Oreochromis niloticus: one gene and its partners. The main gene of each other region encodes a partner of the protein of the gene in region 2 in a complex. Links are inferred from orthologs where the notes say so. Each region holds a gene or a part of one and is shown on either strand. Other genes may lie near its edges. The genes, in order: armc7, snw1, cwc15 and crnkl1.

What was found.
Region 1: snw1 (region 2) and armc7 share a complex: the UniProt entries of both Homo sapiens proteins name them as parts of the minor spliceosome. The link is inferred for Oreochromis niloticus from reciprocal best matches to the Homo sapiens genes SNW1 and ARMC7.
Region 3: snw1 (region 2) and cwc15 share a complex: the UniProt entries of both Homo sapiens proteins name them as parts of the minor spliceosome. The link is inferred for Oreochromis niloticus from reciprocal best matches to the Homo sapiens genes SNW1 and CWC15.
Region 4: snw1 (region 2) and crnkl1 share a complex: the UniProt entries of both Homo sapiens proteins name them as parts of the minor spliceosome. The link is inferred for Oreochromis niloticus from reciprocal best matches to the Homo sapiens genes SNW1 and CRNKL1.

What each region holds. Positions count from the first base shown.
Region 1 is NC_031973.2:5,031,994-5,038,881, forward strand, and holds armc7 (armadillo repeat-containing protein 7), read right to left. Parts: upstream 2,687-6,888; 5' UTR 2,467-2,686; coding exon 2,376-2,466; intron 1,622-2,375; coding exon 1,478-1,621; intron 1,396-1,477; coding exon 1,052-1,395; 3' UTR 528-1,051; downstream 1-527. UniProt on the Homo sapiens protein: As a component of the minor spliceosome, involved in the splicing of U12-type introns in pre-mRNAs.
Region 2 is NC_031980.2:2,829,090-2,836,374, forward strand, and holds the start of snw1 (SNW domain-containing protein 1), read left to right. Parts: upstream 1-4,284; 5' UTR 4,285-4,375; coding exon 4,376-4,389; intron 4,390-4,873; coding exon 4,874-5,027; intron 5,028-5,160; coding exon 5,161-5,322; intron 5,323-5,570; coding exon 5,571-5,666; intron 5,667-6,347; coding exon 6,348-6,454; intron 6,455-7,285. UniProt on the Homo sapiens protein: Involved in pre-mRNA splicing as component of the spliceosome. As a component of the minor spliceosome, involved in the splicing of U12-type introns in pre-mRNAs.
Region 3 is NC_031975.2:10,962,853-10,969,993, reverse strand, and holds the start of cwc15 (protein CWC15 homolog), read right to left. Parts: upstream 3,027-7,141; 5' UTR 2,887-3,026; intron 2,202-2,886; 5' UTR 2,191-2,201; coding exon 2,060-2,190; intron 1,866-2,059; coding exon 1,753-1,865; intron 1,650-1,752; coding exon 1,549-1,649; intron 1,455-1,548; coding exon 1,344-1,454; intron 1,232-1,343; coding exon 1,104-1,231; intron 992-1,103; coding exon 862-991; 3' UTR 1-861. UniProt on the Homo sapiens protein: Involved in pre-mRNA splicing as component of the spliceosome. Component of the PRP19-CDC5L complex that forms an integral part of the spliceosome and is required for activating pre-mRNA splicing.
Region 4 is NC_031980.2:23,432,772-23,439,686, reverse strand, and holds the start of crnkl1 (crooked neck-like protein 1), read right to left. Parts: upstream 3,019-6,915; 5' UTR 2,875-3,018; coding exon 2,827-2,874; intron 1,606-2,826; coding exon 1,453-1,605; intron 1,168-1,452; coding exon 1,076-1,167; intron 864-1,075; coding exon 705-863; intron 336-704; coding exon 169-335; intron 1-168. Other genes in the region: cfap61 (cilia- and flagella-associated protein 61), read left to right, coding at 3,465-3,607, 4,832-4,982, 5,145-5,221, 5,405-5,472, 5,560-5,680. UniProt on the Homo sapiens protein: Involved in pre-mRNA splicing process. As a component of the minor spliceosome, involved in the splicing of U12-type introns in pre-mRNAs.

The DNA of each region.
Region 1 (6,888 bases), on a different chromosome or scaffold from region 2:
TAGATGTCACATGTTAAGCAAAGAAATAACATGTTATTAGTTAAGTCTATACTTGGTTTAGTATACAAGACAATGGTTAAGAGGGACAATAGCATTTCAAGTAGCAAAGATTGAGTTTTATGGATTTCTGGATGTATCCTCCAAAAGGATTGAAAGAATATGTGAAGAGTGCAGTAATGTCAGGCTTTTGATTTAAAGCTTAAGATGTAATGTACGTGCATTTCAGGTTGAGTGTTTAGAATACAAAGTTAGAGAGATGAGGCTAAAGTTGGTTTGGACGTGTGCAGAAGAAGGAGAGTGGATATATTGGACGAAGGAAGCCTGAGCTGCCAGGCAGGAGGGAAAAAAAAACCTGGGAGAAGATTTGTGGATGTAGTGAAGGATGAGATGCAGAGGATTGGTGTGACAAAGGACGATGTTCGGATAGGTTTAGATGGAGGCACATGACCCCCAGAGGGAGAAGAAGAGAAGAAGAAGAATTTCCTGATCTTACTGACCACTGAGAGGGCTTCAGACTCGAAGTCAAATTTAACCACACGCTTTCATTTTAATCCAAATTTACTTAAATAGCACAAAATCACAACAATAGTCACCTCAAGACGTAATATTGTAAGACCCTACAGTAATACAGAGAAAACCCTAACAATCAAACAGCTGCCTCTGACCAAACACTTGGCGACAGCAAGAAGAAAGACCTCCCATTTAAGAGAAAGAAACCTGAAGAAACCAGGCTCACAGAGGGCAGCCATCATGTCACTGCTGTTTTGGTATTTTAAGGTATCTTGTTGATGCCTTAAATACCTCATAAACTGGGAGTACACTTTTCATAATGAAAGGTTTACTCACAGTTAATGAGATAATAACTTTATTAATTCCAAAAAATCAGCATCATTTTTGTCAAGTGAATCCATTACCTCTTACGAGTGGACATCCAATATGTTTTTATTTTTTTTGGAACAACATATCGAATTTTGGCTCCCTTGGGTGAATCATCTGTGACGCTCTCACAGAGAGCACACTTATAAAAAAAATAAAGGTCTGTGCTTTGTCTTTAGTCTTTGGGCAGCGGGATGCCGACTGCCATCTGCTGCCCCTCCATCTGCTGCTGCGCCTGCGCCACCTGCTCCTCGCTGCAGGAGTCCTGCAGAAACACGGTAGCCAGGTTGCGTAGACGAGGGCTCTCGGAGAGGGAGAAGCGCAGCATGCACTGCAGGATGGCGGGATCGGTGATCTGAGAGCGTGACACAGGTGTCAGGAGGTTCATGAGGGTGGTGATGGCTGACAGGACCGTCTCTTCCCTCCGGCTCGACAAGCAGTTTGTGACTAAGCGGATGCCGTCGCTCTGCAGGATGACATCTCTGCACTCAGGGTCCATGCTGAGGTTACAGAGCCCCCCTGAGATCACGAGAGACAAAATCAGAGATAAAGGCTTGACAGTTGCTGCAGACAATGAACGAGATGTCAATGTGACACTCACCCATCCCAAATTCCACAAAGTTCTCATTCTCCTCAGTCAGCATGTCCAAGAAGAGGTCAGTCACCTGCAGCTCCCTCAGATACTCCACGTTCTTTGGATCATATGCAAAATTGGCCAAATTAGCCAGAACTTGTTCCTTCGCCTCTGAGGAGGAAAAACAAAGCTTTTAATCACATAAAATGAGAACTATGGAGTGCCAAAATTAAATAGACAAATATTTAATTAAAAGTCTAATTAATTCATTAAAATATTAGTTCATTTCAAATTATCTGTGGCAGGTCAACAGACCTTAAAATCTGATTGGTTACCCTGCACAGCAAGTTAAGAAGATTGATCCCAGATAATGCTGCAGTCCATGCCCGGATTGCCTGCGCACAGCTAATGTGCTACACGCGCTGAATTAATAATTCATTTTCTGAAGCTGAACGGCTGGACTCCTTAGCGTACTTGCAACTGAGAAACACCCACTGAAAGAATCGACTCCGGAAAGGTAAAGATACTGACCAGATCAGCATTAGCCCCGCCCCCTGACTTTGATAGGTGAGGTTGACATTCATTCATAAATTCATGATGTGTTTTAGCCCAGAACTATGAAATAATAACAACTGAAATATATTTTAAATAAAACTAATTATTTCAATTTAATAAATGTGTATTTAATAAATTCAAATTTTAAATAATTATTTGATGATGTACGTCTCCCAAGAGGAGCACCTAGGCTTTCTGTAGGTACCTCTTGTTAATGTTTTTGTTCTATTTACTTTATTTTATGATTCATATTATTGTCTTGTGGATCTTATGCTGGAGCAGAAAGACGAAAAGGCAAGATTGGAAAAAAGATAACAGAAGAAAGCAGAGTAGTGAGTTTAAAGGTGAATCCAAACACAGCTGCTCCCACCGTCGCTGTCGGTGTCCTGAAACTCGGTGACCAGAGTTTGTAAATACTCAAAGCGGTCAGAGCCTCCGGACGAGCCGCTCCTCCACATCATCTACCACCAGCTCCGCTCTCCGCTTTAGCTAAAAAATGAATAAATAAAATAAAACGAGATTTTTTTCGAGGAAATGATTTAAGATTATTCTTCTCAGTTCGTTCCCGGCTCGGTCTGACCATGAATTGCTCCGTGTAGCTGCGTGGATGAGACAAAGGTTCCGTTTAAACGATTTTTGTTTTAAAATCAGTTTCGATCTGCTAACATACGGTCAAGCCGCACTTACATAGAATCAAATCTGATTTACATTTTTCACACGCAGTTAAAGGTCGTCTATCATAGTTTTTTGTTAATGTGGCAATACTACCCCCTCATACAACATGACACAAAATAGAAAAACTGTCAAGCGGAAGCTAGTGTCACGTGGTACCGGAAGTTGCTAAAAACTGTGGGACACGAAGGGGGCGTGTACAGCACCTCAGCTAACTGTAGGGGAAGGTCAGTGTTTAAAGTGCAAAATTAAGCCACGAAAATGAAGCAGCACAAATTATCCGCCGGGAAACGGCTCGCCAAACCGATCCTGTTCGGGACGATCATCGTTGGACTCGCTGCTGCTTTCATTAACAGGTAACGTTAAAGCGTGTTTACAGCTCAGCCACCTGTACGTAACAGACATGATGTACGTGACATGTGCACATGCAAGTGTTTACTGCACACCTAATAAATATGCAGCTCCGAAAGAGCCGATCAGAAGTGAAGATTATAAAAGCAGCACGACTTTGCTGTTAAAAGGTGCTACAGGGGAAGTAGTACGACTGCGTATTAGGCCCAGCATTCTGCAGCCCTTTAGGAGTTAAAGAGAAAAAGGTCAGAATTTTAGAAATTCGGCAGACTTACTAGAAAAATTGATAATTTACAAAAAAAAAATAAATCTAATTTTTGATGAAAGAAATGGGCAAATTTACAGAGAGAAAGCATTCAAAGTTAGTAGGGAAAAAATGCCAAATTAACGAAAAAATAAATAGCTAGTTTATTGTTTTAAAATGGCAAACGTATCAGAAAAAAAATAGCAAATTTACGAGAAATAATGGCACAATAATGAAAAACAACGGACAAACTTATTAGAAAAATTGTCAAATTTATAAGGCAATAATATGCTAACTTTGTTAAAAAAAAACGGAGCACATTTCCGAGAAAATAAATTGCATATACTGTATATATGTATATATACAAAAGACATACTTGTGGCAAATTTCTAAGGAAACAATGAGCAAAGTTCAGAGGCATTAAATTACAAAATCAAAAAAAAAGCAAGCTTATTTGAAAGATATAGGACATTTCAAAGAAATTAGCAAAGGACAAATTTATGAGAAAAAACATGCAAACCTATGAGAAAAAAATCATTAAGTTCCCAAGAAAAAATGAGCAAAGTTCCAAGACGATAAATACCCAAAAAAAAAAGAAAAAAAGACACATTCCCAAGGAAAAAAAAAAGAAAGAATAAATTTCAGAGAATCTGGCGGAGAATTTGCGAGTGAGGAAACTCAGTATGTGGTGATGTCCATGAGCTCCCTGACTGACATAAAACTGTCTAGTTCCCAGCTATGAAGATTTGCTTCAAGGTTATTACAAGGTCTCGTTAAGTAACATTCAATTAAGAAATGCCGACAGTGCCACGAGTAAGGTGTAAGAGGACAGAGAGCTGCTCTGTTCCCTGTGCAGGAGCGTTATAAAATCAGTTTATGTGATACATTTCATTATGATTTTGTATATTTGGTGTATTTTGAATGTGGATTTATTTTGTGGTTGTTGTGTATTGCTGTTTGTTGTTTTTGTATTGCTGTTTGTGCATGATTTCTGGAGAGCCTGTCTGTAAACCAGGTTTAACGGCAGGAACAATAAAATGACTGAACTGTGAACAGCTGTCTGTGTTGGCCCTGCAGCAGACTGATAACCTGCTCTGTAACAGCTGAGATGGGCTCTAACCTCCTGCCTGGCTGTATCTAAAATGCCTTTAATAATATTTAAATCATGTTAAAGGTATTGAATTTGCAGATGTTGTTTTTAAGACCTCTAGAAAAGCCCTATCAATACAATTAACTTTTAGTCCCACTAACTCGTTCATGCCGTTAGTGCACAAGCGATTTTACAGCACAGTGGAGAAGCTCTTCAGATTGAACAGCTGTGTTTTGTGTGACCAAAAGTCCAAAGAGAAATCTTTACTGTTCAGTGCTTTGTTGTATGGACTGGACATTTTGACACAGCTGGTTGTTTCTTTTTAATTGACATCCCTAAAAGCTTTGAAGGAGCCCTGAAATAACCTCATTATTAAAACTTAGTGGAGAAAGAGCTTCAGTAACGACAGCAAGCAGACTTCTGCGATGACTGTGATTAGATTTCTTGTGGTTGAAAACGTGTTTAATCCTCACTGTTGTCTTTAGAATCACATCAGGTGAACCCAGGAAAGGTGATCTGATGTGTTTAAGTACTTTTTGTGCTTTTATTCACATCACTGGATGAATCCTGATGATTCCGCTGATTCTTTGGTCAAAATTCAACAAAAGAGAAAGAAAAGATGAGTATTTAGTTACACTGGACAACAGCTTCTTTTTTTATTGTTAGAAAAATGGAAACAGAGTAGGTTTCCAAAAACACTCTGAAGACTACTTGAAACTAAACTGAGAGAAACTGAATATACAAAACATTTTTTTTGGTAAAGCTATAGTTTTATATTTTTCCATGAAAGTAAAATCAAAATCTGTTTTCTCACACTGAACCACCCACGTCACTTTAGAAGAAAGGTTGTAATCTTACCATTTTTTTCTGGTTCTCTAATGAATTCTCATAATTCTCATTTGTTTTCATTCGATACTTCCTCTGTTGCGCAGACACAGGTTTTTCGAGGACGTCGTTGAACTCAGGGCTCAGGAGCGAGCGCGCAACGACACCAAGAGGTTGGAGGTCCTGGAGAGGCGGCAGAAGCAGATCGACGAGCTGACCGAGAAGAAGCAGCAAGGAGGGAGCGGCTGAAGGCGGCAGCAGCCTGAACCTCAGTGCCTCTGCAGCAGACTGTGATACAGAGCAGGTCTCCACAGGTGGACGCTGCACATGTCCACATGTGCAAAGATGGCTTTGCTGAATATTTTTACTGAGGCCTGCTTACAGTAATGGATTTATTGAAGTAACCCTCACAGATTTGTATAGACATCTGGGCTGGACACAACACTGTCCAAGATGCCCAGTAAAGGAGCTTGACCAGCATCTTCCTTTACTTACTTGTTTTTCCAGCAGGGGGCAGAGTTGACTGCAACCTAATGGACTGTATGAATGAAACTCTCTTCAATTATTAATTATTTGTGCTATACATTATTAAAGATCATTTATTTAAAATGCACACTGTGGAGGTTTTCATTTGTATTTCATTGGTGTGACTTTATTGTAGTCAGGATTAAAAGTCAAAGCACAGACGCTAATCCCGTTCAACAAACATCAGCTCTGCCTTCAGTTTTTGCTCAGTGAAGCAGGAAAATCAAACTCCTTGGTGTTGGGATGTATTCAGTCTGATGGCTGTAACACGACTAAAATCCCTTATACTTGTATTTTCAGTAATAACTGACGCTGAACTGTCAAAATAAAGGTTTTAAATTCACTGTCAGTGTGACATGAAATAATTATTCACTCAAATATAAGATCTGTAACTTATAACTAAACATTGTAGATAGAGAGAAAAGGCCATTTGGAGCTAGTCCAGCATTCTACTGTAAAGAAGTACAAAATTTTAAATTCTCAAAGGATTTAGAAATTGTGCTTACATGAGAAAATGTACTTGTTTGCTTTTCTCCACTCTAAAATAAAGAAAGCTACTCTTAGTTTTTCTGTTATTTACAAGGGATCAACACAGCAGGTAGCGCCGCATGTTTGATTTGACAGACTTTTTTTATGCCAGGCGCAACCCGCCAAGGGATTTGTCTCCTCCCAGGATCCAGCTGGGTATCTTTCGCTTGTGTACATCAGCAGTTATGATAGTTAACAATAGAAAATAACAGATGCAGTATAACCATAGACTGTAAATACAAAACATGGATGTAGCTTGTGGGTCTGCCTGTGCAGAAATCCCTTAATCTTGCCTTCTTCCTGTTAACCAGCAGGGGGCATCTCCTCTGAAGGAGGCCGGCTGCATAGTGGTGATGTGCATACCACTGATTTCCTTTCTGATCAGACACCAAGTCAAATTCAGGGTGGTATCGACGATACTGATCCGATACTTTGTACAAAAACGTAATGTGTTATTGTATTTCAAATTATAGCTTCATAATGATTACAGAACATCAGACTACTTGTTCTTATTCTTTAATTATGAAGAATTATCATATAGAAGTAAAAAAAACCTGAATTTGTGTGTTAATTGATGCTATTTGAACAGGTATCGTGTCATTTAACATGTTCTTGCCTGGACGTTTCAACAAAAACATTCAACATTCA
Region 2 (7,285 bases):
AAAACACAGAGGTGGCTTATAAAGGCAGTGAGCATAGTTTTGTAATTTCACAACAATGTAAATATAACTCCTGCACACTGTCTCACTTACTGCATTAGGACTTTGTAAATCTAGCGTGGAGGAGTTACAGTTAAATTGTTGTGGAACTTTTACTCTGTCACCCATTCAGGTGTGCAGAAATTTTTGAGCCATATTTTCTGTAAATAGTTCCTATTTTTTGTGTCAGGTTTTTGTTTTCACGTCAGGTAATTTCATGCAGTTTCCAAAATGTGTTTACTAGTGTCAGCTTCATTTTTGTTGTTTGAAAATCTTTAGTTTCACTTTAGTGAAAAAACACGTTTCTCAGAATAGATAATATATTACAAACACAGGAACTCAGTTTCTTTAGCCATAAATAGACATGGCCAAGATCAATTTCACACTGAGCATCAGAATGGGGAACAAAGGTGATTTAAGTGACTTTGAACATGGCATGGTTGTTGGTACCTAACAGGTTGGTCTGAGTCTTTCAGAAACTGCTGATCTGCTGGAATTTTCCAACACATCCATCCATCATCAGGGAACACCAGCCCATCCACATCAACAGTGTCAAGGTCGAAAGGGTCAGCAGCTTCAAGTTCCTTGGAGTCAACATCACTGAGGACTTCTCCTGGACCCTTCACACAGACACTGCTATCAGGAAAGCTCGCCAGCGGCTTTACTTCCTGAGGAGGCTGAGGAGGTTTGGCATGAACGCCAGCATCATCTCAAATTTCTACAGGTGTGCAATCGAGAGCTTGCTGACGAGCTGCATCACAGTTTGGTACGGAAGCTGCTCTGCCAGCAGCCGTAAATCACTACAGAGGGTGGTGAAGGCAGCAGAGCACATCACTGGCACGAGGCTTCCTGCCATTCAGGACATTTATCACCAGCGATGCCTCCGTAAAGCACACAGCATCATCAAGGACCACAGCCACCCAGCACATCAGCTGTTCTCCTTGTTACCATCTGGCAGACGTTACAGGAGTCTGTCTGCTCGGACTACAAGACTTAAAAACAGTTTTTACCACCAAGCCATACGACACCTCAACCACAACACTTAAACACACACAACACAGGACTCAGAAGCTACCCTGCAGCTTCACAAGTACTCTGTTTAATCTGCACTGGTCACTTCACTTTATTGTTATTGATATTTATATTTAAAAAGTGCAATACTGTAATTTTCTGCTGCTCATTCCTGTGCAATATCCCATCTGCCCTCCCGTCATATTTCTTTTCAAGATTTTCTTATTTAATCACTAGTGTACATATATTTATATTTATAGATACATATATATTTAGTCATCTTTTCTCTTTTACCATGTCTCTCTAATATTTTGTTCTTTACTATTTTTCTATTTGTTATTTTATTTTATTATATTATATTTTATTATATTTTTTCCTACTGTATCATGCTGCTGAGAGACCGCTGCTCGTCAAACACATTTCATTGCGATGTTGACCCTGTGCTAACTTGCATATGACAAATAAAACTGAAAACTGAAAACTCTCAGAGAATGGCTTAAAAAGAGAAAATATCCAGTGAACAGCAGTTCTCTGGGTGAAAATGCCTTGGTCAGAGGAGAATGGCCAGGCTGCTGATAGGAAGGTAACATATAACTACTCAGTACAATGAGGCTATGCAGAGGAACATCTTTGAATGTAGAACATATCAAACTTTGAAGTAGATGCGCTAAAGCAGAAGAACTACTGGTTGCTACTTCTGTCATCTAGGGAACAGAAAGCTGGGGATACACATCACACACTAACCAAAATCGGGCAATAAAAGATTCTCAACACGTTACCTGGTCTGTGGTTCAGGAGGCACAGCGAGTCATCTACTAATCGGAAGGTGTTTGGTTTGATTCCCAGTCTCCTACTCTGTGTTTCAATGCTTTGTTGATCAAGATAAGGATGGGTAAATGAGGCTTGTAGTAAGAATATAGGACTCATGCAGAGTAGAAAAGCACTGTGTAAGCACAGCCCCATTATTTCTGTTTCAGCATTGGCAGGGTCAGAATTTATCCTTCACAGTCTCCAGATCTTAGTTGTGCAATCTGCAGCAACTACGTGATGAGAGTATGGACCGTATCTCTAAGGAATGAAAGTGCTTTGCTTTAAGTGAACCTAGTTTCTATAAATTAACTCTTATTTTTAATATTTGGAATAAGACAAAATGTGCAGTTAATAGCTTGTTGATTATTTCAGTCTCAGAGATAAATAAATATCAAAGCTGAAACAAAACGCCACGCAGAGCTGAGTCGAAATTTGGGGTTACTATCTCAAAATTCATTACCTAGTGCAACTTTCAACTTACTATCTGAAATTTTGAGTTATTACTGATTAAGTCAAAATTTTGACTTACGGGCTGATTTTATTTTAATTTTTCACTAGTAGAAACAAGCTTTCGTATGGAAAAGATCATTTCAAAAGACAAGAAATAAAGAGAAGCAAACTGTCTTGTTACGTCAACTTGTTAAAATTTGCATTTAAAATGCATTTTCTGTGACTGTAATAGGACTTTTTTCTATTCAGTTTGTTACTGCATGATCTAGAAAATGTGCTATCAATTTTTAAGAACATAAAATCAAGAAATAACCACCCGAAATAAAACCGTGAACAGCACATCTTGAAGAAACAGATTGTGAGTTGTCTGGTTCTTCTTTTGGTGGTTAAAAGGGTAGAAAAATAGTCTGAATAATTTCAGTTCCAGAGACCTGAGGAGGCAGAAGCTGGGCTCTATTTCCTGTTACACCTCAAAGAAGTGAAAACAGTCCTGAGGGGAAAGCGTCAAAAACAACAGAGAATTCTTTTGTAGAAAGAGGAATTTTATAGTTGTGTAAAAATTCAGCACAAGTAAACAGATGCACTTCTTGACTAAATAGTTGGCTTGCCGTGAGAATGTTGTTATCAAACCAGTTCTGGAAAAAATTGATTTGTTTTTACAGAGAATATAACTCTTATTCCAAATAAAACACTTCTTAAGCACTCCTAAAATAATTCACACTTTTTAAGATTAAGGCAAAAGACCAGAAGCTTTAGAGAATAATTCTAACAGAATAATTGCAGAAGAAATCCCCGTGCTATCTTTTAAAAACAATGTTGTGTCATCAGCAAGTTGACTAATGAGAAATGTCCTGTTAGTGATAGAAGAGCCCTGTAAGTTGCTTGATTTTATATGTGAGCAGAGCAGCTGAGCAACAAGAAGAAAAAGATATGGTGAAAGTGGACAGCCTTGTCTGATGCCTCGCTGAACATTAAATCTGGCTGATGATCCATGTTTAAGCTTAATAGAGCAGTTGGCATTGTTATATAACTACGAAAAAAGGCAAGGCTTTTAAGTGAATGATGTAAAAACTGATGTTCAACCGTGTCAAAGGCGTTAAAACAATCTAAAAACAGAAAATAGCCATTATCTGGAATTATGTATGAGTAATTCAACATATCCAAGATAAGTCTGATATTACTGGAAATATGTCTGTTAGGTAAAAAGCCAAGTTGCTCTTCATCAGTTATTGTTTCGGAATTAGAGTAATTAATCCTTGAGTCATACTCCAGGGTAATGCATCAACTGATATACATTCATACTGAGGATGAAATAACTTATAGAACTCAAATGACAAGCCATCTGTCCCTGGTGATTTGTTATTTTTCAGCCTTCCTGTAGATTTCAAAAGGTTGAATCTGTTCATCTGGACATAGTGTTTTCAGTGGGAGAAACGTTTCATCACTCATCCAAGTGACTTCTTCAGTCTCAGCTGACTGCAGGTTTCCCCAACCTTATAAACAGTACATTTGAACAATAACTGAAACCAGCCCACTGAATAAACAATGGGCTGTGAGGTCAGTTCCTTAATCATTAACATGCAAATTGTCATGACCATTGATCAACAACCACTGATCAAAAACCATTGATCAATGGCCAGGAGTACCATTCACAGACTTTTTGACAGATAACAGAGTGTCACATAAATCCTCACCTTCCTTCCAGTTTGGGAGTGTTTTGTAAAGAGTTTAGAAAAGCCAGACCATCACTGCCTATAAAGTTTTTTTTATAATAGGATGAACAGAAATTAGTTATCATTTTCGGGTTATCAGTTACCACTTCCTCTATTCTTAAATGAGTAATTGTTTTCAATTTTGCAAGATACTTTTCTAACTTAAAAAGTATAAAGAATTCTGCTCTTCCTTCTCCAGCCACTGTTTCATAGACCACACAAATGTCCCTTCTGCTTTCCTCCTATATACTTTGTCCAGAACGTTTCTTGTTTAGTGGTTGTCGTCTATTCTATCGTGCGCATGTCTGTACTGTCTTCGCGCATGCGCAGTCTATCGCTTAGGAAGAAACGGGAAGATGTCTCTGACGAGGTGAGCTTCACGATAAAGCCTTTTGTATTTATAAATTGTGAAACTGTATTAAATAAGATATCGATTCAACTGATTGGTTTCAGGTGTATAGACTACGATTAATGTATCACACTGGTATTTGTGGTATGTACGCTGTCGGTTCTGTATCTGATTTAGTCGATCCAAACGGCTACGGCTAGCAAGTAAAAATGTCGCGAGTTCAACATTTAGCAATAGCTAGCTTATCAGCACGCAGCCGTGGTCACGATATGATGTAGTTCGTTGTGTAGACGTAGTTTAGTCAGCCGCGTGTTAAAGTTGGCTTCTCTAACATTTTCTTTTAACTTACCTTGATCATTGGCTATTTTAACTGACACTTACACGCGTGTCATAATTAACCTCGAAGCTATTTGTTGTCACTAGCGGCTAATGCTAGCCAGGGCATACAGCGCTTGTGTTACTGTTCATCACTTTGAGACTTACATGTGGATTCCTGTGTGTTCAGCTTTTTACCGGCGCCGACCCAGCTGTCCCAAGATCAGTTGGAGGCAGAGGAGAAGCTCCGGGCCCAGAAGTCCTACTCTACCGCCCTGGTTGCATCCCGTAGAGAGCCCCCTCCTTATGGACACAGAAAGGGCTGGATACCTCGCTCACTCGAGGTAAAACCTCTTGCTCATATGGGATAAGTTTCTTGTTTTGCTCACTTATGGTTGGGTCCCTTTTTGTCTAACCTCTACGGTTTGAAGATGAAATCAACCCTGAGTTTTCACAGCAAAATATGTGTTTCTGCAGGACTTCGGAGATGGAGGTGCTTTCCCAGAGATCCATGTGGCTCAGTTTCCTCTGGAGATGGGTAGAAAGAAGAAGACATCAAATGCCCTGGCAGTACAAGTGGATGCAGAAGGAAAGATCAAATATGATGCCATTGCCAGACAAGGACAGGGAAAGGATAAGGTATATGGGCATTTTATCCCTTCGACAGTTAGCAGGGATCCTCTCAACACACTCCAAGGATTTGTCTTTAAATCATAATATACAAATCAGCAATTCTCTTCTTAAAGCCTGAATAAAACCTCTCTCATGTGCATCACTTTCACACTGCCAGAAAATGACATTTAGGCTTTAGTTTATTTGCATGTCTGGCTCTGTTTTGATTTTAAAAAGTGGCATTCCTTTATTGGTTTCATTTTTCATTCTTATAGGTGATCTTCAGTAAATACACAGACCTGCTTCCAAAGGAAGTTCTCAATGAAGATGCTCCAGGACTACAGAAGCCAGATGAGGAGGCTATACAAGAGGTAAGAGCAGGTTTAGATTTGAGTACTCACTAGTCATTTTTAGAACCATTTACCAAAGAAGTAAAATATTTATATAAAGGCGTTCTCAAAACCAACAACTGCCACAAAGGGCTTTTTAGAGGTATCAATTAAAAATCTGCTAATGTCAAAGGAAAAATGCACAACGTATATTTTTGTCCCAGTAAAGTTGCTGAGCGAGTGAAACAATTTGTCATAATTAGTTTTGACAACTTTGTATTTAGACTTTTTAAACTTAATTGGTAAGAAGTGTTGGACACCAGGATGACTCTGCTTATCTTTAAGATTTGTTTTAGTTGTCATTATGAAATACAAGGTTGTCTAACAAAATTACTGATTCAAGTCCATTTAATCCTTCCTGCAAACTAAACCATAAAGGCCTAAATGAATGAATAAACAAGTAAAGAAAATATAAAGACAGTTCAGGCTTTGAGTACATCAAAGCCTGCGATGTTCTTGGTGATTGTTAATCTCCCGATTTTGCACATTGCTCAACCTTCATCAGTTTATGTTGTTTCCAGTCAGGATGCTTTCTTATTACTAAATGTTTAAGGAGTACAGTTTCTCTTGTGTCATGTGACTGCTAATAATTGCAAACAATTCCTGTATTGGATTTCTTTAATCTGGAATGTAAACATGATCATCCTTTTGTGTCCTTTGTAGCTCACAGAGAAGACCCGTGCAGCCCTGGAGAAGCAGGTGTCTCAAAAAATCGCTGCTGCCATGCCTGTAAGAGCCGCAGACAAACAAGCTCCTGCACAGTACATCAGGTATGTATTAGTCAGAAGATTATCAACACTGCACACAGTCAGGGAGGAGGGTGGGAAAGTTGACTTCCAGTTATTGTAGTGCTCTGTAGTACGTGGGCCTGAGGCCTTCTTAAACTTCTTTCAGTTCTACTCACGCTACTCTTAAATTCTTTTTATGTGGGTACAACAGCATATTGGTATAGCTTATTAACAGTAAGCTAATGATTTACACTAGCTAACATACGTACTGGAGTCTAGGAATCAACTCAGATCATCCCCCCAAAAAAATAACCTCTTTGTCCGCATCACTTTTCCTTGACTAAAATAGAAATCATGTGCGTGGGGGATCCAACCACACTTACATTAGACTCCTTAGTATTTTCATACTGGATGTCTGCCATGTGGAAACTGCAGTATCTAGAAATGTTCATCTTACACTGTTGTTTTATGAAGGTCATATATAAATGAGAACAACAAATGAAAAATATCACTTCATTACAAAGTTTGGAATTTTTTTTAGAAAAGGGACCCCGAATTTTAGAGCTGAGCATACATAATTCTGCTGCTCAACGATGGTGGGATGTTGATCAAATGGAGCATAACTGAAGTGAGCTCTGTTTTTGCACCCCAGTGCACACAGACTGAGCAACCTTTGATCATTTATGACCCAAACTGAAATGTCTGTCAGAGTACGGCTATTAATGGAGTTGTGTTAGCATGTTAGATTCATGTTTGAGTCTGAAAATGTGTGACTGCTGAAACAGCGGTCAAACAGCGGTATCTGCAGTTGTGCCACATGAACAGCATCTTGAGAGAGAATTTGCCAGTAATTATGTTTTATGCTCTTGTACA
Region 3 (7,141 bases), on a different chromosome or scaffold from region 2:
TTTTAAGGGTTCATAAAGCAGTTTAATATGAAGACAATTTATTGAAAAAAAATTAATTTGACAAGAAATGCGACAGACAGGGTGTATTGTGCCTTTCACCCAATGACAGCTGGGATGTGCCTGATTTAGACTTCTGCAGGAAATCCAAGTTGTTCTTTCTACTGCAACCAGAAACCCGTCTTAACTCTACGCTCTAACCTTCCATGTCATTCAGTTGTTGCAGTCTGCTTCGACCTGATGTGTAGCTATATTTCTCAAGTGGTGCAGATCAGGTTGCGGTGTAGGGTTAAGAAGGCTTTCCGGTTACGTTACAATTTCCCACAGAAGTCTAAATCAGGCTCCAGCGCCCCTGTGCCCTTGAATAAGATAAGCAGAAAAAAGTCGATGGCAGATGGCTGCATAAAGAAATAAAGGCTTGACTGCAGATCTCTACACTGTTTAAAATGAAATGTTTGTGTGTGTGGAGTGGCTAAACAGAAGGAAGACATTTCCATCTGATGATCTGACTGGATCCTAATCTAACTGTGCATTTGTGGAGATGCTGGTTTATATAATCTCTGCCAGTTTATTGAAAAAAACCCAAAAGAAAATAAATGCTTGGTCACATTTAAAAACTGCACTTAACTTTTGACAAATTTCACTCAAAGATGTCACGTTGACACATTTATATACAGCATGACTGTACAGATGGATACGTGGTTAATAGCATGGATAGATGGATGACTGTACAAGTATTAATGAAGTTGTATACAGAGTTTATTTGAAAAACCATGTACCCTCTGCAACAGAGGGTAGAGGAAGGAGACCAAACACATTAGATAATAAAAACAAAAACAATACAAATAACACAGAGGAAGTCCTCTACTTTACATATTTCTCCATAAATTTTTTGTGAAATTCAGAGCGCAGTGTGTCATTGACAAAGCGTTTCTCCTTCCGTGCCTCATCCACTCCTTTGGCGCAATTCTTGAACACTACGTCATCATCCCACCTTGAATAATATTAGGAAATGAAATCAAGATTAGATTTAAGAGGTCTTTTTCTCAAATACAAAGCTCATCCTGTGGTTATACTGTGGGTGACTGTGTATAAGTGAGACATACCTTCTCTTGACTCTGAATGTATTCTGTGTCTGGTTCTGTTGCTGCTGTCCAGCCAAATTAATCAGTGGATTGCCGCTCAAGATATTTTCCATTCGAATTCTCTCCTCCTCTGCCTTTTGCTCTCGCTCCTAAGATGGAAAAAAGAAAATTTTACTTAATACAAAGAAATAATATTTCTTCTGACCAAATGTAACGTCTTATTTTAGTTAGTGCAAACAGAACAGCCTAAAACACAGTTACTTTGCGTTCTTGCTCTTCAGCACGCTCTTTTTTAATCTTCTCCAATTCAGCCAAAAGAGCTGCAGTGTCATCATCATCACTATCTTGATCAGAGTCCTCGTCCTCATCATCCTAATAAAATAAAAATCATTGTTAAGGGAGATTAATCAGTACTAACCACTACTCAAGTTAAGTGCCCAAAATGTCTTGCATTGTAGACACTCACATCAGTGAGAGGATCATCAGCATCAAGGTTAGCAGCTGGGATCTGATCCAGTCTTGGCCTCTTTGAAGATGACGAAGAAGATGATGATGATGTGGTGTGCTCTGGAAAAAATAAGACCAACATAATGCCATATGTGAGAAAATAAATATACACTAAAATATATTTTACATAAACAGGAAGTCTAATTTCTGCAGAAAGACCAACCTCTTGGTCCCCTCTCTCTGGTCTTTTCACGTGCTGCTACACGCTCCCTCTCCTCCAGCTCTCTACGAAAGTCACGGGCACGGACCTCCTCAGGGGCATCCTGGGTAGGTTGCCTGCAGAAGGGAAAACATTAGCAGATCAATAAATTGTAATTTTCGTCCAGAACGCTTTCTGGAACACTTTCACCAATCTCACAGTGAGCAGACAGATAATGCAGTACAAACTGATCCGAAAGCATCTTTCCTTCTAGCTAACCAGCCAGCAGATCAGGCAATGATAAAACTCCATTCACATTTGATCTTCTGACCTGTACTTGATCTTTGTGTGACCTGGAAGATCTCGACTGGAGTATTGCTTGGAGAGAGCACTCAAATCACCTTCTCCTTTACCCCTCCCTCCTCTTGCCGGCTCAAATGTTGGTCTTGCAGCTGTAGTCATCTTTGATGGCTCTGCAATGGGACAAAGAAGACATTAAACCTATCAAACAGGTGGAAAAGTTGCAAGCAGAAAAAGCAGAGCAGACACGGTGTCCATAATCAAATTGTAGTGCCCTACAACACAACACGCTTTTACTCCACTTATGTGCCTTATAGAAAGTCAGAAGGCTCATCTTTTTGGTTTTTAGACAAGCTGGTACAACATACCCTTTCCCAAATATCAATTACCTACTCATTAAACCTCAGTGGTGATCAAACCGCTTATAGTTCACGTGTATATCTATATTAGCAACGTAAATAACAGTTGAGAGGCATTTAGATGACAAGTTACGTAATTTTCCTAATAAATATCATTTGTTCACCTGCTAAAACTCCAGGTCAACCAATTAAACCTATAATTAACAATTTTCTGATTAAATTGAGACTGTGGCATTTTAAATACTTCTTTGTAAGATAAATATCAGCTGCTAAAAGGCAGTAAATGAAAAGAACAAATTAGCCTGCTAGCTGCTAAAGCTAAAACGCTGCTACGCTAACTTCCTATAACAACGCCGATGAGGTTGAAAACGACACTAATTCGAGCCTTCGGTAAGACGGATAATGTTTCAGAGAAGTGATATTACAGCCAAAAATAAAGGAAATTTAAAAAATTCATTAAGCAGTATTTAAAAATTAGGTTTAAAGAAACAACACTTACAAAGCCGCTACCACACGACGAAAGGAACACCGATACAACAATCAACGTCACTTCCGGAAAAAAAAGATGCGTTCAGAAACACTCAGAGAAAATAGCGTGCGAAAAATCAGAGATTTTAAACTTCTTACATCTCAACATAGCGTTGACACCACTAGGGTCTACGCGTATAACTTAACAAATATGCTACAGCCTCTCTAAATTTTATTTTGGAAACCACCACTTCCGAAAGACTGATAGACTAAATAGACTGCAGGGGCATCAGCGGAGGAGTGACCTGTCTTCTGAATAGTGCGTTGTGTTACAGTGAAGGAGTTAAATGAGGATGCTGTTAAGTGCAACGCTCAAACAGATGCGTAGAAGATGCATTCAAAGCAAAACCTCCCTGTAATGGTCACACAAACAACTCTAACACAGTACAGGGTGGGCCATTTATATGGATACACCGTAATAAAATGGGAATGGTTGGTGATATTAAAGTCCTGTTTGTGGCACATTAGTATATGTGAGGGGGCAAACTCCTCAAGATGGGTGGTGACCATGGTGGCCATTTAGAAGTCGGCCATCTTGGATACAACTTTTGTTTTTTCAATAGGAAGAGGGCCATGTGACACATCAAACATATCGGTAATGTCACAAGAAAAACAATGGTGTGCTTGGTTTCAACATAACTTTATTCTTTCATGAGTTATTTACAAGTTTCTCTTTGTGCACAGCCACTGACATGTCGAAGAGGTTAACACGTGAGGAGCGGATCGAAATTGTGTTGATATCTGGTGAACGTTGTAACCGGGTCATTGCAGCAGATTTCAATGCAAGACACCCTACGAGATCACCCATCTCCCATGCTACAGTTAGCAAACTGCTTGCTAAGTTTCGTGAAACTGGTTCAGTGTTGGATTTGCCAAACTGTGGACGCAAGAAAACTGTCACGAATGAAGAAACATCAGTGGCTGTCCTAGCTTCATTCAGCAAGAGCCCACAGCGTAGCACTCGCCGCATGTCACTGGAGAGTGGCATTAGTCGAACATCCCTTTGGCGGATATTAGCTACTCACAAATGGCACCCTTACAAACTCCAGCTACTGCAGCATCTCAACGAGGATGACCCAGATCGGTGCACAGAATTTGCAGAATGGGCAAAACAAAAATTGGAACAGGACCCTCAGTTCACGCAGAAGATTTTGTTCAGTGATGAGGCAAACTTTTATGTGAATGGTGAAGTTAACAAACCAAACCACCGCTATTGGTCTGACACTAACCCACATTGGATGGATCCCTCCAAGACTGTTGGACCAACAAAAGTGATGGTTTGGTGTGGTATATGGGGTACAACGATAGTGGGTCCATTCTTCATCAATGGAAACCTCAAGGCCACTGGATATTTGAAATTGCTACATGATGATGTGTTTCCCTCTTTATGCACTGAAGCTGGCACGTTCCCTGAGTTTTTCCAGAAAGATGGTGCACCACCACATTATGGGTGCCAGGTCTGAGCATTCCTAGATGAACAGTTTCCTGGAAAGTGGATTGGTCGTCGTGGGCCAGTTGAATGGCCCCCAAGGTCTCCTGATCTGACCCCCTTAAACTTTTATCTTTGGGGTCATCTGAAGGCAATTGTCTATGGTGTGAAGATATGAGATGTGCAGCACCTGAAACTATGGATACTGGATGCCTGTGCTGGCATTTCTCCTGCGGTGTTGCTATCAGTGTGTGAAGAGTGGGAGAAGAGGGTTGCATTGACAATCCAACACAATGGGCAGCACATTGAACACATTTTATAAGTGGTCAGAAACTTGTAAATAACTCATGAAAGAATAAAGTTATGTTGAAACCAAGCACACCATTGTTTTTCTTGTGACATTACCGATAAGTTTGATGTGTCACATGGCCCTCTTCCTATTGAAAAAACAAAAGTTGTATCCAAGATGGCCAACTTCTAAATGGTCACCATGGTCACCACCCATCTTGAGGAGTTTGCCCCCTCACATATACTAATGTGCCACAAACAGGACTTTAATATCACCAACCATTCCCATTTTATTACAGTCTATCCATATAAATGGCCCACCCTGTACATTCAGTAGTTTTGTAGTAGTGTTGCTACACTCACCAAAATTCCTACTGCTATTATTCTATTATTAGTAGTAATATAACTTAGTTGTGTTGAAAAAGACACACACTTTTAACGTTGGCCCCTTTATGTTTGTAACATGCATTTTAATGACACAAAAAAAAGTACACTCCTTCATTACTAATTGTACACATCATTCACCACTTCGATGGTTTCTCTTTTATCTCGATACTGTTCTGTGAGAGAACCAGGAAAAGAAGTGGTTCTACTGGATTCCACTTACCATTCAAATATTTTTTGTCTAAGCAGCAATACTTTTATTTGTATTTGTATTGTATCTTTATTTTGAACATGTTTAAATAGACAAACAAGCAAAGCAAAACTAAAGGAAAACAAAACAATAATAATTATAAATAACTTACATGTTCAAAAAGGAGTAGGAAGAAGCATAAAATTATTTAATCCCACCACCTTTCCACTATTTAGTAACTAATAGTCAACACTTTTTCTTCCTGTTCATGCCCTACCCATCATAAATTCTTCCTTACAATTTGTTACATGTATTTGCTTTTATTACCTGAGTAACACGTCAAAAGATATACAAATTTACAGATATATATACTTATACTTGTGCACCCACACATACACATCCCTATTGTGAAACTTTACAAACTGAAGTATAGAAACTGGGAGAAAACTGGAAAAATAAAAAAGAATGACACAGTTATAAAAAAAAAAAGTTAAACATTTTCATGGCATCTTTACAGGTTTTGAGTTAGCCTCAGTGAAAGAAAGTGAATACCCTTACGTTTAAAAACCTGAAAAGTAAATGGACCAGTTCTTATATACTGGTTTTCTACTCTACCTGAGCACTCAAAGGACTTTATACAAAATGTTTATTCACACATAAAGTGCTTCCTGTCTAACACTCACACTCCAATGAACACACTGGAAACAACTCAGGGTTCAGTATCTTGCCCAAGGATGCTTTCGGCATGCAAACTGGAACAGCCAGCAATTCAACCACCAACCTGCTGTATACCCTATGAGCCACAGCCATTACAAGAATTAAAAAACACATTAATCGCTTTTGCACACAGAGTCCCCTGTACACCCACAGACCAAAATGTGAATATTTCAGTTTATTAAAATGTAAAGTAAACATCAGATAATGAGGTTAAGCTTTTCTCCGTGCTCTTTTATTTTCACTGGAGAGAATGGGCATTTCGGTTCAAGGATTTTCAATGTAAATATTATTAAAAAGGTCTGATGAGACAGTAGATTAAATTCGAACAACTCTGAGATCTGGTCCCGCTTGATTCCTAGAAGCCTACCAACTGGAACAGTATGCTTGTGAAAGAAAGTCTTTGTTGTGGGTGAAACAATACTACAAGCTTTTTATATTTGAAAAAAAAAAAAAACTTTTGTGGTTAATGATATGCAGGTTTTCAGTTGTCTACTTTTTTTTCTGTGGCACAAAGGCTATTGTTCAGGGATGGGCAATTAATTTTCCCATGGGGCCACATGAGAAACTGGGACTGTTGTGGAGGGTCGCACCAATAAGTGTATAAAGAGATTACATTAATATTGAGCAGAATTGAGTTCAGTTTAATCCCCTGCTATAGCCATTAGTAGGAAAGAAAACAGGATCAAGCACTAACCTGCAGGGTTCATTTAAATACCTTTAAGCTGTCAGGCAGGTTATAAAAGCCTATTTTTAATTTGCTTCTCAGCAAAGACTGAAAATCTCACTAGAAAACATCTCTGGAATGTGACTTCTCACACTCACAGAAAAATCGAAACCACAAAACAGTGCTGTCCCTCTTATCACCCAGCCTATCCGCTTGCTCAATGAGCCTGTGTAGCATCATCCAGGTGCGGCACTTCAAAACTAACAGGGGAGAGGGGTGGGGGCGGGATCTGAAACTGCAGGGGGTGGGGCTCCGGTGAAGGTATTTCTGCTATCTCATTCGCGTGTCACAGAGACCCGGAGGAGGACCGACACTGATCTGCTCTGACACAAACAGGTGAGAACACAATACGGCACAAAAATGGACTTCACACCCCTGTTCACGGCCTGTGTGAGAAGGGGCTCATTACCAAATCTGAATTGCTTTCCTTTTCTATGAATAATGAATTTGACCTGCTTAATTGGGGCTGGCACATCTCCAGAAAGATTCATCAC
Region 4 (6,915 bases), about 21 Mb from region 2:
ACAAAAACAGCCCTGACAATAATGAACTCAAGCTCTGTGGGACGACTCAGACCATCACCCTGATCGTGCTTTTTGTTTCTTTATTTTAAAGTTTTATTATATTGTTTGAATTTAACTGTGGGGAAACACATAGTTCCCTGCATGTTAGTAAAAGCAACAAAAGGATATATCGCTCATAAATGGTGCGGGCTTTCTCCACCTCCTTGTAGCGCAGCTCAAAGTTGATGTAAGAGTGCCAGGCCTGCTCTTCAGGCTCCCATTCCATCCATCGCTCAAAGACCTGCCTGCAGCCGGCGATGTTTCCCAGCATCTCCTCCATGTAGGTGTACTTGTACCTGTGCAAAGGAACAGCATTCAAAATATTACACACTTAATGAAGAAACACAGAAGATTTAAGAAAAACAGACAACAAATGCACAGCAAAGACTCTCCATAAGAACTGTACAATCACAAGCAGACTCACACTCACACACGATGCACTTTTCAAAGTTTAAAACACATCATTTACATCAGGTTACATTTCAGCTACTCTATTGTTAGATAAGTGTCAATAAAGTATCAGCCAACAAATACATTTATTCAATTTTTAACTACAGAAAAGGACTGAAAATTGTGACTTGTGCCACTTGCCAAAGCCTGCTGATATTTTACAGACAAAACAATCAAGAAATAAATATGGCGATTAAATGATTTTTAAGTCCTACCAGAACTGGTTGACTCGTGGGAGGATGGTGATGGCTCTGTCCCAGATGTTGCGGGCGTGGTTCACCTGGCGGCTTTTCATCTCCATCTCGGCGTACTTTAGCCACAGAGTGATGTTGCGATGATCGACATCTAGCGCCCGCTCGTAAATGGAACGAGCTCTGAAACGAGGGTAACCGTTGGTGAGGTAAAAGTGGACAGTGCAGACACATGGGCATGAGAAAAAATTCTAAAACATTTACTAAAATGTTAAAAGATGTGAAGACCGATTCTACTTATTTCAGTACAACCAAGACTAAGTTGTTTGTGATTGACCCCGTGCGAAGTTGTAGCCATTTAATATTCTGACTTTCAGCTGTTTTTGCTTCAGTACCTCTGGATCTCCTTCAGACTTTCCTCCCATTGTGCGTATTTAATCCAGTTACTGATGACAGTCCGGTTCTTCCTGATGTTGTCCTCAAAGCTCTGAAAGAAAAAGACATTCATCATGTCCAAAAACTATAAAAACATATTTTTGTGTGCTGGAAACATCTCAAATTTTCCTGTTAGATTAAAACTACAAACACATTTGTTTAACTAAACATAACTATTAGAGCAGAAGTAAAGCCAGAGAGCATCACACCTCAAATATATTTTATGCTGGCTTTTTAAACATAAATAAAGTGGGGGAAAAAATTCTTGCAAAAATGGCAGTATGAGTAAGAGCAATGTGAACACTACCAGGAGAGAAAATATGATGGAAGTGCTTACCTTCCTCTTCCTCAGTTTGTAGTCATTGAGCTCCTCCTGATCGGTGATCTTCTGTTTCGGTGGTGGTGGCAGGAGTTCGAGCTCTCTCTCTTTGGCTTCCCTTAGCAGCTGCTCTGCAGTAATCTGAACCTCTGCCGGAGCTTTATTCTTCACCTAAAACACAGCACAAAATACAATTAGCGTGAGCACAAAATTAGTCTTTCCTCTCTTCCCCTCAACTGGTCACAGCAGACAGCCTCTCCCTGAACCTGCTTCCTGTTAAAATAGAGTTCTTCCTCCCCAGAGACACCAAGTTCTCCTGATTGTTGGAGTTTTTAATCGCTTATGTTACCTTACAATATAAAGCACCTTGAGGTGACTGATCATCATCTTATTCTTCTTTTGATTCCCCCCTTTAGGAGTCACCAAAATTTATCCCCACTTCACCCTATGCCAGCATCATCCTCTGTCATACCAACCCTCTGTATGTCCTTCTTCACTGCATCCATCAATCTTTTGAGGTCTTTCTCTTTTCCTCCTGCTTGCCAGGTCCACCTTCAACATCCTTTGACCAGTATATCCATTAGCCCTCCTCTGCACATGTTGGAACCATCTCTGCCTCTAACTTTGTCTCCAAAGCAACTGGTGAGAGCTGTCCCTGACCTTCAGCTCGGCCTCCTGTAAGTTTCAGTCTCCAAACCATGCATCACTGCAGGTCTCACTACCATCTTGTAAGCTTTCTCAGTTGCCTCTATCATGTCAGAAATCACCCCTGACATTCGTCTCCACCTGCTTGCACTCTCTTCTTTACCACTCTCGCACACTGTCCGTTGCTTTGGATGGTTCACTTCGGATACTTAAACTCATCCACCATCAATTCCTCTACTCCTTTCAGCTTCACTGGTACACCCGCCTCCCTCTCATTTACACACATGTATTCTGTCTTGCTTCCATATACCTCCAGAAGCTCCCTACTCTCAATACAGATCACATTGTCGCCTGTAAACACAATCACAGTCCACTCCTCCTTCACATACTATTACTATAATAGTCATTTTTAAACACACTTCTAACTTTAAAGACACAAAGAAACTCAAATGTACCAGATTTTAAATCCTAATATAAACAAGACTAAATTAAGGACACGTAAAACACATGGAAGCCAAAACAAAGCAGAGCGTGGTGAAAGTTTACAGCTAATGTAACTTGTGTGAAACTCAGACCACAGAGCTACCTGTTCATCAGGTAAAATAGCCCTAAATGTACTACAGTGTAGCACGTTTTTGTGAGTAACTTTGGCAGTGAAAAGATGAGATTAGATTTTAATTTTGCTCCGTTAGCCCGAGTTCTATGTTAGCATTAGCCTGGAGCGCTGATACTGCTCTGTTCACTTACCTTCGCCACCTTCGGTATCCGCTGTTTGCCTGCTGCCGTAGACGCCATTTTGATGGCCGGTTTAACCAACAAACAACGTTAAAAACCTCACTTAAACTGTCACGACAACTACCAAACGGCGCAAACAGGCAGCGAAACGTTTCCGTCTCACCGAGCGCCAGCCACCGTGACAGTAACCACAATGCCCCGCGTCTTCTTCTTCTTTTTCTTTTTCTTCAAAACGCAGACGTGTTGCTGCCATCTACCGTTTGTTCGCCAATGCCATTTGAATAATTTATATATACGTTGTCCGATATAGAGAATATATTCACTATAACAGACTTCAGTTGAGTCCATTTGTCCAGTCTGAGGAAGTTTTGATGAAGACTAAAAACTCGTTTCTAGACTGATTTTAGTGCTTTAAACAGTTGCTTCATGACTTCCGGTTAAACCGCGGGAGTTCTGGCGTCACGTTACTATGGCAACTGGGTTTGAGCTCTTCATAGGTGAAAACAGTGAGCTGAATTCAGTTAAATAAATTTATATTAAATTTCACCTTCTTCTATCCACCAGCCTGATATTACAGTTTATTACAAAAAGGCAGTCTTTCGTCTGCTGTAGTTTTATTAGTACTATTTGTCCATATAATACGGGTGACGATGCGGACTGTAACCTCAGACAGCGCCCGGGAGGTAACGGTGACCGTGAGGAGAAGCGAGTCCGCGGACGCTGAAGAGATCGACGGCCTCATTAGTCCCTCTGCGCAGGCGGTGTTTGGAAGAGTCAATGTTATTCATCTGCTGTGAGAAAAGTTTTTCTTCTTAAACATCTCAGCGGCAGAGTTTAGACCGTAAACTAGATGCTCTCTGAACACAAACACACCTACAAGCTGGATAAGTTGTTTTAATCACTGTTAGATAATTTGTTTGAATTATGTAGTCTCTAAAACGTCAAAAATAATTATAAACTTCCATGAAAACGCAAGAATTCTATCATCTCTTTAATATATAGCTATGCTATAATATTACTTTTGTTCTCCACCGACTGTATGGTGGTTTATTCTTGTCTTAAGTGTAATGGTTATATTGTTTTCACAGTATCTATTCTTGTTTATTTGCTCACATCAGTTTTCATGCTGAGAACTGTAGGAGAATTATAGTGTTGGAGGGGATGGGAGTTAGCTCTCGAAAATCTCTCTGAGAATGATTGCAGTCAGTCAAAGTCAGACTACAACTGTTTGCAGGAAGGTTGCCTCCCATCAGGCGACCTGTGCAATCGCCTGGTGATCAAAAGTGATTGTAAGAGCTCCAGGCAATCATTTGTGAAAAAAATTCAATCATAAGACAGCCATCTAGTTTTGTTTTGTTTTTTTCCTTTGGAGGGTGTGTGTGTGTGTGTGTTTTGTAGATGGTTTGTTTGTTTGTTATGTTTTGTAGATCATATGCTTTGTGATGAGGAATTAGCTTGCTGTGAATTAGGAGGTAACTTTGTGTTAGATTTTGTTTCTATTTTTATTACGCAGTTGAAATGTAACATTATGAGAGAATGGTGGTGTGTGGGCTTACGCCTGTTGTTCATAGTATTCAAAGAATATTTTAATTTATTTAATAAAATATCAATATTTGGTTCCCTCTATCAAAACAATATTGCCACAGAAAATTTAGCAATAAGATAGTATGCTGATTTTTTCCCCACCTCTAGTTCTAAGGGCAGTGTGGTCTCTGTTATGGGGGCTTATACATCCCCAAAACACCTCAACTAGGAGGGATTCACATGCTTTAACCACCTTAACTGGTGCTCTTCTCTCAGCTCTCCCACTTCCACCTGACGGTCATAGCAACTGCTTCAAACTGCTTCTTTCAGTTTTCCTTTGGAGGATCTAAGAGGACCAAGTTGCCTCTGAAAACGTGTGGTGGATGCAACTCTCATCACAATTATGTGGTGATTGATGTAGACGTCTGTGCTCTCAGTTAATTTCAAACACTTACAGAGACCATCACTGAGCTTTCTTGTCATGTTCATTCAGAGAGAAAGCTAACCTGGCTGTGACTCTGACCAATGAAAAGGGCGACATCCTAGGCCACGCTTCCTTCTTTGATCACCCTATTGGAGATCTGGTGGATCAGACGCAGTGGGAAGCTTTCCTGCAGGAACACTTCAGTGCTGGACAATGCACAGTCTGTACCTTTCATTTACTGATTTTAACATAAGGTTTTCGTTAAGTAGAGGCAATTAACATCACCTGGAATGAATGTGGCCAAGTGCCCATACTCTGCTTAGATGAAATGAAATGAAGTGAGCTCACACCTGCAGTGGATTAAACTGTTGTCTTTCTGCAGCCTCTCAACACACTTTTCCTCCACCTTTTTGTGGCACGGACGGATTTCACCACAGCAAGTGTGAAAGAGATAATGAGGTATGAACAAACAAAGACCCCTTTTTTAAAAATTCTTGTATCATTCGATAAGATTCATATATCAGTGCAAGGTAGATACTACAATGCACTTTGATTAGAAGCAAGCACAGTATGCAGGTGTCCTGAAAGGTGAATGCAGTATGTGTAAAATTATCATTTTTCTTGATGCGCTTTGTTTCGCAGGTCCATCTTTAACGCCATTCCTGAGCTTGAATACGTCTGTCTGCTCAGCCCACACGTTGGTGGTTTAGGTGATTTAGATTTAGCAAGTTAAAGTCTATAATTCACTTAAGCATTAATTTCCAAGAGACTCAGACAGATGTTTTTTGTGCTTGCAGAGCCGGCACTGGATGAAATATTTGAGCCGTTGGAGCGTCTGACCGACCCCGGGCCTCAGTGCTTGGCATTGATCTGCCACAGAAAAGCTCACTGTCCCCGGCCTCATGTGCGCGCAGCCAGGTGATTTCTACTGATTCCTCCCCAGGCTACTAAACAGTAGAGTGAATAAAAGAGTGTAGATGGATGTACTATAAATAAACATTTATTCACATCAATTTTGATGTAAGATGTGACGAAGAACTCATAAGAACTAAGATTCTATGAGCACAACAGTTTATTTCATGATTGAAATTACAATAGGCTATTAAATAATGCATAAGAGTTATGCCACAGAAGATGCAAGGACCAAGGATGTTTTTAGTGGTGTTAAACGTAGAACTGCCAGAGAAAACAGAGAAAATGCAAAACCCAGAAAGAAGGAACTCCAGGAGAACAGTGGAGGCAGCTCGTTACCTTTTCCAGTCACAAGGGGAAATGAAATAGCTTTCCTGATCCCCTAATTCTTGCCTTTGATAAGGATTTTTCTAAACCTGTCATAAAGTGCTTCTAACAAGGAAACAACTTTATAAGTTGATAAAGCTGATATACCTTTAGAGCACTTTGACATATTAGCAAGCTGTGATGGAAAATTCAACAGTAATTACAATGAATTTAGTTTTGAAAAATGTGCATATGAGAATTGTGACTGTTCTGATGGTGCATCACTTTGAACTGAGGGATGGTATTATCTCCATTTTTCATAAACTATCCTCTACTGAAGGACGTAATAAAGGAAGCCCTGAAGCATGTTTAATTTTTCATGGCTGTGGTTAAGCAGGGCTTATACAAGGTTGTGGGCATGGACACGGGCAAACACAGCAGAGTATTCCTTCTTGTTACACTTCCTTGAAGTCTGCCTGAAGGGCACTTGCGTAGTTTGTATATTGTAAAGGCACCTGGATGTTTGCCCAGAGGCTCACACTCACTGTCTGACGATGAAATTTACATCAGACACCAGTGGACTCACTGATGCAATATGTGAACATATATATATATATATATATATATATATATATATATATATATATATATATATATATATATATATATATATATATATTGGGAACCTCCCTGAGCAAAAGCGATCATTCGACAGCACACCTGGTAAAGTTAAAGCTGAATTTCTTTTCTTTTTGGCCACCAGGTGGCAGAAGAACTTTCTCTCAGTAGTAGGAAGCTACAGAGGGCAGCTCCACATGTTTTTTTGGTAGACTTTTTGCACCAGATACCCTTCCTGAGACATCCTAAAGGGATCTGGGGCTGTAGGTCTTTTGCCTGTCAGTTGAATGTGTAAACCACTACACTACATAGCTGCA